2 linked regions of the Callithrix jacchus genome follow. Each later gene encodes a partner of the first gene's protein in a complex. Links are inferred from orthologs where the notes say so. Each region holds a gene or a part of one and is shown in the gene's direction. Other genes may lie near its edges. The genes, in order: CAPZA2 and S100A1.

Evidence for each region.
Region 2: the proteins of CAPZA2 (region 1) and S100A1 are in contact, whole or in part, in an NMR structure (PDB 2KBM), measured with the Rattus norvegicus proteins. The link is inferred for Callithrix jacchus from reciprocal best matches to the Homo sapiens genes CAPZA2 and S100A1. Residues at the interface, in NP_001009180.1 of Rattus norvegicus: Thr267, Lys268, Ile269, Asp270, Trp271, Asn272, Lys273, Ile274, Leu275, Ser276; in NP_001007637.1 of Rattus norvegicus: Ser44, Phe45, Leu46, Asp47, Lys50, Asp51, Ala54, Lys57, Ile58, Glu61, Leu78, Ala81, Leu82, Thr83, Ala85, Cys86.

What each region holds. Positions count from the first base shown.
Region 1 is NC_133512.1:87,439,721-87,444,065, forward strand, and holds the start of CAPZA2 (F-actin-capping protein subunit alpha-2), read left to right. Parts: upstream 1-1,493; 5' UTR 1,494-1,605; coding exon 1,606-1,644; intron 1,645-4,345. UniProt on the Homo sapiens protein: F-actin-capping proteins bind in a Ca(2+)-independent manner to the fast growing ends of actin filaments (barbed end) thereby blocking the exchange of subunits at these ends.
Region 2 is NC_133519.1:14,044,964-14,049,498, forward strand, and holds the start of S100A1 (protein S100-A1), read left to right. Parts: upstream 1-1,442; 5' UTR 1,443-1,630; intron 1,631-2,827; exon of another isoform or gene 2,828-3,082; intron 3,083-3,489; 5' UTR 3,490-3,502; coding exon 3,503-3,643; intron 3,644-4,535. UniProt on the Homo sapiens protein: Small calcium binding protein that plays important roles in several biological processes such as Ca(2+) homeostasis, chondrocyte biology and cardiomyocyte regulation.

The sequences.
Region 1 (4,345 bases):
CTTGAACCTGGGAGGCAGAGGTCGCACCACTGCAATCCAGCCTAGGTGACAAAGAGAGACTCTGTGTCAAAAAGAAAAAAAAATTGCTTATCTGCAATTCACATTTGAGTAAGTGTCCTATATTTAATATGGCAACCCTATTCAAGAGGGTAGGATCCATGACTAACATGACTTTGTACTCCCCTGGAATAGTCCAATGCCTTCCCCAACTATTTTGTTGTTTGGCTTTTGGTTTTTTTTGTTTTTGAGTCTTGCTCTGTCGCCCAGGCTGGAGTGCAATGACTCGATCTCGGCTCACTGCAACCTCCCCCTCCAGGGTTCAAGCAATTCTCTTGCCTCAGCCTCCCAAGTAGCTGGTACTACAGGCATGTGCCACCATGGCTTGGCTAATTTTTGTATTTTTAGTAGAGAGAACTTTCTCCATGTTGGCCAGTCCGGTCCCGAACTCCTGACCTCAGGTGATCCTCCCACCGAGGCCTCCCAAAGTGCTGGGATTACAGGCCTGAGCCACTACACCCAGCCCCAGCTGTTCAATGTATGTTTGTTTAGAGTAGTAGGTGAGCTTCCTAGAACAGAAGTTTGTCTTATTGAAATAAATAGTTTTGGAGTACAGGTGGATTTTTGGTTACATGGATAAGCCCTTTAGTGGTGATTTCTGAGATTTTAGTGCAGCCATCACCTGAGCAGTGTACCCTGTTCCCGGTATGTAGTCATTTATCCCCTCCCCAATCCCCAAAGTCCATTTTATGCCTTTGCACCCCCAGAACTTAGCTCACCCTTTTAAGTGAGAACATAGGATATTTGGTTTCCTATTACTGAGTTACTTCACTTAGAATAATGGCTTCCAGCTCCTTTCAAGTTGCTGCAAAAAATATTATTTCCTTCTTTTTTATGGCTGAGTAGTATTCCATGGTGTATATATACCACATTTTCTCTATCCCCTCGTTGGTTGATAGACACTTAGGTTGGTTCCATCTCTGCAATTGCGAATTGTGCTGCTATGAACATGCATGTCTAGCTTGCTTTGGGGGAACCTCAACACTGTAACCCCGGAGACTAACACAGTGCCCCACACCCCGTTGAAGGACCAAAAAATATTTGTTGGATAAATAAGAAATATATCAAGAGCAATCTTTCAATTATGGAGCGGGTTGGGTGTGTGTATTTTAATGAAAGCCGACTATTTTTTCTAATATTTGAAAAACCAATGTTTAAAAAGCTTCTATTGCACACCTTTTCACATTTTAGCTAGCAGAGTTCAGGACTTGATGGAAACATAACGAAGGGCTCAGAATGTACTCATCGCAGACTGAGCCCATATGGTCACTGGTGGGGAGAGAAAGCTAGCAAACCTATGCAGGTGGCCCTGGGAGACACCGTCCCCCGCCGGGCCACCAGGCGCCCGCGCACGCGCACGCGCACAGCCGCGCTCAGGCTCTGAGGGCCGGTCGAGGGAGGCGGGGCTCCCGGGGCGCGTGCGCGGCGGCCTGAGCGGCGGGCCCCTCCCTTAGCGGGGGTGCGCGGCGCGGAGGACCGCACGGAAAAGGGGAAGTCAGGTGGCCGCCGCCGCCGCCGCCGCCGCCGCGGTTTGTCGCTAGAAGGAAGATGGCGGATCTGGAGGAGCAGTTGTCTGATGAAGAGAAGGTAAGAGCCGCGGGGGCGGCGGCGCGGGCCTTCAGGAGCCGGCTCAGCCCTGGCTTGTGCGCCCGGAGTCGGGTCGCTGGGGAAGCATTGGCCCGCAGCGGGCGGTGCCCTCGGCTGCCCTTCCTCCCCCCTTCCTCACTGCGCCCAGTGCCTGCCCCCGTCCGTCACCCGAGGCCCCGCGCGGGGGCAGGTCTCAGCCAGGCCTACTCACTCCGCTCCTTGTAGGGTGTGTGCTCCGAAAATAGGAAAGGGGAGCCAGGCGGCGGCGGGCGGGGGCGGGGGCGCGGGCGCCGGGGAGGGCGGCGGCCGCCCGGGACCCTCTCCTGTTACCCGGCCGCGGGGCCTGCGCCGGGAGCTGGGGGCCGGGGGCCGGGGACCGGGGACCGGGGGCGCAAAGGGGTCTGCGTCCCGGCTTGGGAGCGGCCCAAGGGCAGTGCCCAGAGCGGCAGCCTGGCCTGTGAGTGTAGCGGCGGGTGAGGGGAAGGGAAAAATTGCTTAGGAAGCAGACCTTCAGTTCTCCCTTCTACTTCCCCCTCCCCAAAGCAAAATGCTTCCTTTTCTGATTCTCTACGTTTTATGCTTTTTTTTTTCCTTTCCCCATGGAGGCCTGTCTCTCTCCCGCCCGCCCGCCCTCTCACTTCGTGGCTCTAGCTTTAGGCTTTGCAGCTCCCATGTTCCTCAAGAGGCAGTGGAGTTGCTCACAAAAAGACGACCCCCTCCCCATAGTTGTTTTCTATCCACGTTGGCAGCAGCCCCCCCGGGGGGCGATTTGATGGCACCTTACCTTCCTGCTAGGACTTCTTCCGAAGAGGGGAAATTGTGCAAGTCCTTTTACTGTATGTTAGATGCTGTGACAACACTGGAACCAGGTGAACGACATAAGTTCTCAGATATTTAAAACGAGAAATCGAATAATTCATTGAACTGTTGCTCTTTTACACTCTCCTTTCCTTTGGCTTTTGCGAACGTCCGGTTCCCGAGGGTAGTGGGGTAGGGGAGAACTCTGCTAATTTTGACAGTTTCTCGGAAAGGAACCTGAGGTTTCTCAAACTTAGAAGTACTCCCGAAGTAACTGACAGACACGAATGAGTTAGTTGCAGGGTTGGAAATGCTCTTTAACTCTTCGTTAAAGTGTGCTTCATTTTTAAGTTCCAAAGCTGTATAGCCAATGCAGGAAAATACAAGTACCTTTAGGTACGTTGTGGTGGTTAACAGATCCTCACGTAAGTTTGAGGATATTTTCAATTTGGACCCTCTGCTCTAGATGTTTTTATATACTGTATTCTTGCACTGAAAGAGAAGGTTCCGTCCCATTCCCGATGTGAATGGGCAGAAGTCAATCTCATCTTTATTTTGGAAATATTTTTTCCTCTTGTGCTCTTTGGTGAAAGTGATAATACAGCAACAAAATGGGGGTGAGCAACATCTCCATAACCCCCAGTAGGCAGATCCCTGTATCCAGAAAAGTTGCTGTGCAGTATTCACGTCTACAGTCTTGGTAAATAACCCAAAGTAGCTGTCCGAAAATGCACTGGAGTGCACAAACACATATTTAAAATTGAGTTGTGCTAAAAAGTTTAAAAAGAGATTGTCACGTTTTTATTTTACCATTCTTAAGTCGTAATTAGTAGTTGCTCAAGTGGCTAGAAATTTAGCTGAAGAGAGAATACTGTGTGGGAGTTAATATAGACCTGCCATGTGTTGTAAAGGCCTAAAATTAAAAAGCTTTTAAAAAATGGGTTTACAAAATTCCTTATTATCCAGCAGTCTCAGGGCACTAAGCTTCATGAGGAGGAGTGAGGAGGTTGTGTGTCTTCAAGCTTGCGCCGCCTACTAGCAAAATGTTTTATGGGTAAATTAGTGAAAATTCTAATTTGATTTTTGGTGTTTTGTAAGAATATTCTGTAGATATTATACATATAAATTTCATCACTATATTTACTAATTAAAAAACTGACAGAACTTTTGGGGTAAATGCAAGTAACCAGTTAAGTGAAATTTTAACGTTCTTGTCACTTTAGATATCTAAAGGTATTTTTCATTTTGGGGTGGAGGATGTGTCCAGTATGGGATCAGAAACAGAGAGGACTTGAAAGTGATATATTAATATTTCTCTTTCTACCGTCTTTTTGGTAATTTTCAAAAATAAGTTCTCAAGCTGGACACAGTGGTTTGCACCTGTAATGCCAGCTACTCTGGATGCCAAATGCGGAGAATTGCTTGAGCCTAGAAGTTGTAAACCAGTTGGGCAACATAGTGAGACCTCATCTCTAAAAAATAATAAGTTTTAAGTTTTCGAAATTTCCATTCTAGATTGCAAATCTAAGAAAGGGAAGCTGTTAAGATGTATCTAGTACTATACTTTATATATGCTTGGCTGAGTTAGATACATTCATTACTTAATTTGTTTTAAGAGGTAGTTGTCCTACTACCATTTCACAGATGAGTAGAGTGAAGTTCAAAAGCTTTTAGTAGGCCGGGCGCGGTGGCTCAAGCCTGTAATCCCAGCACTTTGGGAGGCCGAGGCGGGTGGATCACGAGGTCAAGAGATCGATACCATCCTGGTCAACATGGTGAAACCCCGTCTCTACTAAAAATATAAAAAATTAGCTGGGCGTGGTGGCGCGTGCCTGTAATCCCAGCTACTCGGGAGGCAGAGGCAGGAGAATTGCCTGAACCCAGGAGGCGGAGGTTGCCGTGA
Region 2 (4,535 bases), on another chromosome or scaffold:
GCTCCCTCCAGGGTCCGTCAAGAGACTAACCGTGCAAGGAGATGGGGTGCAGCGAGCTGGAGCCTCAGGGCTGAGGTTTATAAGCGGCGAGGAGGGGGGAAAGAGTAGAGAGCAGCAGCTTCCAAGCCCGGAGGTGTCAGATTTCTATGGTCGATCCTGAAGACCAGAGACCGCCCAATCGCGCCTCTCGCCTGAACCGTCAGGCCTGGACCCGGGCTCCCTGCCAGCCACACGAGCGCCCCCACTTGGTCAAGGAGAGGAGCTGCCTGGACAAATGTTCAGCAGGGGTCCCAGGGTCCCACTCCTCTCAATATTGGGGGCTGCTGCCACCACACCCCACATCTAATCAGGAGTGTGTATGCTGAGTGGGGGAAGGGGGAGGCAACCAACTGAGGGAGCTCAACATTGGGAGGCCCAATCTGAGATACAAACGTTGGCCCCTAGCTGGGCATGGTGGTGTGTGCCTGTAATCCCAGCTGGGAGGCTGAGGCAGGAGAATTGCCTGAACCCAGGAGGCGGAGGTTACGGTGAGCCGAGATCGGGCCATCACACTCCAGCCTGGGTAACAAGAGCGAAACTCCATCTCAAAAAAAAATTAGACCCCCCCCACAGGCAGGGCGCAGTGGCTCACGCCTGTAATCCCAGCACTTTGGGAGGCGGAGGCGAGGGGATCATCTGAAGTCAGGAGTTCCAGATCAGCCTGACCAACATGATGAAACCCTGCCTCTACTAAAAATACAAAAATTGGCCGGGTGTGGTGGTGTATGCCTGTAATGTCAGCTACTCAGGAGGTTGAGGCAGAAGAACCATTGGAACCCAGGAGGCAGAGGTTGCAGTGAGCCTAGATTGCGCCATTGCACTCCAGCCTGGGTGACAGAGTAAGACTCAGTCTCAAAAAAAAATGAGACCCACAAAGGATGCTACAGACCAAGATCCCTCAGAGAACCCCAGGCTGAGGCCCCACACACAGAGAGGGATCCAAGTTGAGACCCCCAAGAGTCTGGGATTGAAATCCCTCTGTGGGGTCTCAGACTCCCAAGACTAAGTTACTCATTGAGGGTCCTCTCAGTGAGGTTGCATGGAGGAGCCACAGACTAAGACCCCCTCAGCAGAATTCCCCCCTTCCCCGGCTCAACCAGCACAGCCAGCCGCAGGTGCTGCAGGGCCCAGCTTGGGGTGAGAGGTCCAGTTCCTTCCCAGGATCTCCTTCCCACCTCTTCCCCTGCACCATCCGCTGCTGCCCAGAGAGAAAGGAACGGGCCAAGCAAGGCTGGAAAGAGACAAGGGCCGCCTGTTCCAGCCCAGGAGACAGAGGGCGCCTCTGTCAGCTCCTGGCCCTTTGCCCCACAGGGTGTCTGCCTGTGAAGGGGTGGAGTCGGTGGCGGGGGGTCAGCGGGGGAGGGACGGCTGAAGACAGGTCTCCACACACAGCTCCAACAGCCACATTTGAAGCCTCGGCCGTCTGTCCAGAACCTGCTCCCACCTCAGGCCCAGGCTGACCGTGAGTACCCTGCCCTACTGGGCTGGTCCTGGCCGGCCAGGTTTGGGGAGAGGGGTCTTCAGAAGGGCTCTGAAGAGCTGGGGACCATAGCGCTGTGGAGCACTGACGATCTGGCAGGAGTCAGTCAGGGTGAGGGCAGTTTGGGATCTGGGGGAGACAGGGTCTGGAAGGTGGTGAGGAGAGGCAAATGAACCAAAGGTCAGAGAGAGCTGGCAGCTCAGCAAAGGAGGAGGCCAGTGGGAAACCCACCCTGAGCTTCCTGGCCACCTGGCCCTCCCCAGGGAGCCCTCAAGTCCCTGCCAAGCCCCCTTCTGTCTCCCAGGTGTTGGGGAGGGCCCCCTGCACTCTCCTGCCTCACTTCCTGTGGGTGAAAAGAGAGCAGATGCAACAGCTGTTTCTGCCCCCACCCCTCCTGCCTGCCTTAGTCTCTGCCACCCCTCCTGCCTGCCTTGCCAAGAGCTCAGGTCCCTTGGAGTCTGGGGTGGCAGGGCGAGCCTCCCATGATATGGGGAAGGGGATGGAGGGTGCTGTGCCCATTCCCAACACTGCCTCCTCAGGGCCTCCCCTTTCTCCTTCTCCCCTTTTTGGCCCAGAGCTCTTGACTCCTCTTTCCCCCAATTCTTTCCTCTTTGTTTTCCCATCTGCCCCACCCCCAAGTCCTCTCAGAACTGGCCCCACATAAAATCCCAGGCTGCTCTAGGGCTCCACGCGACCTCCAGCTGCCCCTCTGGCATGGAGCGGGTAATCAAGCCTCCAGCATCCCTCCCTCGAGCAGCCTTTATCCCCTCATCAGCTATGGCTTGGGTTCCATCTCCCTCATGTCTCTGTGACAACCACTTCTCAGGTCCGGAGCTCAGATGACACTTACAAGGGCCCCATTGAAGAACTGGGATGTCATTCGATCAGGGCCCATTGTCTAGCCCCCTAGGCCTGGGGAAGGATGGGGACATCTGATCCCAGACATCTGAGCTGCCCCCATGGGGCTGTGGGGGGCCAGACTGTCCCAGGGCCAAGGGAAAGAGGCCCCCTGGTTTGGCAGTCTCCTCTCTCAACAGACCCCTCCTTTCTTCTACTCTCTCCTGGCCCCTCGAACTCAAAGGACCACATGCTCTCAGCCCTTTATCTCCCCCATCACATACCAGCCCCACTCCCCCTGCTCTCACTGTCCCTGAATCAACCAGGGCAATCACAGGGACAATGCCTGCAGGTCTCCTCTCCCCATCCCTGGGAACCCTGGCTCCAGGGAAAAGGCTCAGACATTCCTCTCTCCCCTCCCACCACCCACTAGACGGAAAGGATAATTTTGCAGAGGTTATAGAAGCATACCTCAGAGAAGTCAGAATGACACGTTCAGGAGGGAACAGAGTTGAAGGACCAAAAGGGGCCCCAGCTGCTGACAAGAATCTCAGAGCCAGCGAGACTTCCCTCCTCCAGAAGCCTTAGACCACCCACTGGGGCTGCCACCCCATCTGCCAGGCTGACCGGGGGCATCAGACTGACACCTTTGCTAGGGGTGGGCAGCAGAGGCAAGGCTGTAGTGGACACCCCAGCCCACCACCCTCAACAGCAGGGCTCAGCTATGCTAGGCAGGCAAGGTCCAAGGTAAAAATAGAGCCAGAGAAAGCATGGCCCAGTCCTGTGACCACCCCTGCCTGCCCCACCCTCCTCAATCCCTGCCTGGGCAGCCACCGCAGACATCTACCACAGGCCTCTGGAGCCAGCCCAGCTCCAACTGCTCTCTCCATGCCCCAACCCTGATTCCTTCTGGCTGGAGTACAGACTGAGGGACAGGAAGAACAGGTCTGCATTTAGGTCTGCTGGGGTTTCCCTCACATTGTAAAATCTCAGGGAAAGATCAATTGCAGTAGGGCTCTAATCCCACAGCTATTTGAGCTGTCAGCCAGGGCCAGGCCCGAGGGCTCCCCTCACCTAGACCCCAGGTACTCGGGGCCTGGTCCTCAGCTCCTTTCCTTGATGGGGTTGGGTAGGTGCACTGCCGCAATGGGCTCTGAGCTGGAGACGGCGATGGAGACCCTCATCAACGTGTTCCACGCCCACTCGGGCAAAGAGGGGGACAAGTACAAGCTGAGCAAGAAGGAGCTGAAAGAGCTGCTGCAGACGGAGCTCTCGGGCTTCCTGGATGTGAGCACAGAGTGGTGGAGTGGACGTGGACTGGGTGAAGGGGTGTGGGAACGGGGTGGGCACCCCCCTGCTGTCTCCCCACCCCACTACCAGCTCAGCCCAACCTCCTTCTTTCCTTTGCCAGGCTTCTCTCCTGGTTTTTTCCAGGCTCCTCTACTCCTCCAGGGTCAAGTCAAAATGCCCTGGTTTATTGATCACCTGTTACGTGTTAGGCCCTGCATAGATTCGTCAATAATAAGACTCACAGTATGGCCGGGTGAGGTGGCTCACACCTGTAATCCCAGCACTTTGGGAGGCCGAGGCGGGTGGATCACCTGAGGTCAGGAGTTCAAGACTAGCCTGGCCAACGTGGTGAAACCCCATCTCTACTGAAAATACAAAAATAGCCGGGCGCGGTGACTCACGCCTGTAATCCCAGCACTTTGGGAGGCCGAGGCAGGTGAATCACGAGGTCAAGAGATCGAGACCATCCTGGTCAACATGGCGAAACCCCGTATCTACTAAAAATACAAAAAAATTAGCTGGGCATGGTGGCACATGACTATAATCCCAGCTACTCAGGAGGCTGAGGCAGGAGAATTGCCTGAGCGGAGGTTGCAGTGAGCCGAGATTGCGCCATTGCACTCCAGCCTGGGTAACAAGAGTGAAACTCCGTCTCAAAAAAAAAAAGAAAATACAAAAATAAGCTGGGTGTGGTGGTGAGTGCCTGTAATTCCAGCTACTCGGGAGGCTGAAGTAAGAGAATCACTTGAACCAGGGAGGCAGAGGTTGCAGTGAGTCGAGATCGTGCCATTGCACTCCAGCCTGGGTGACAGAGCGAAACTCCATCTCAAAAAAAAAGAAAAAGAAAAAGACTCACAGTCTAGAAGAGAAAGACTGATACTTAAAAGTA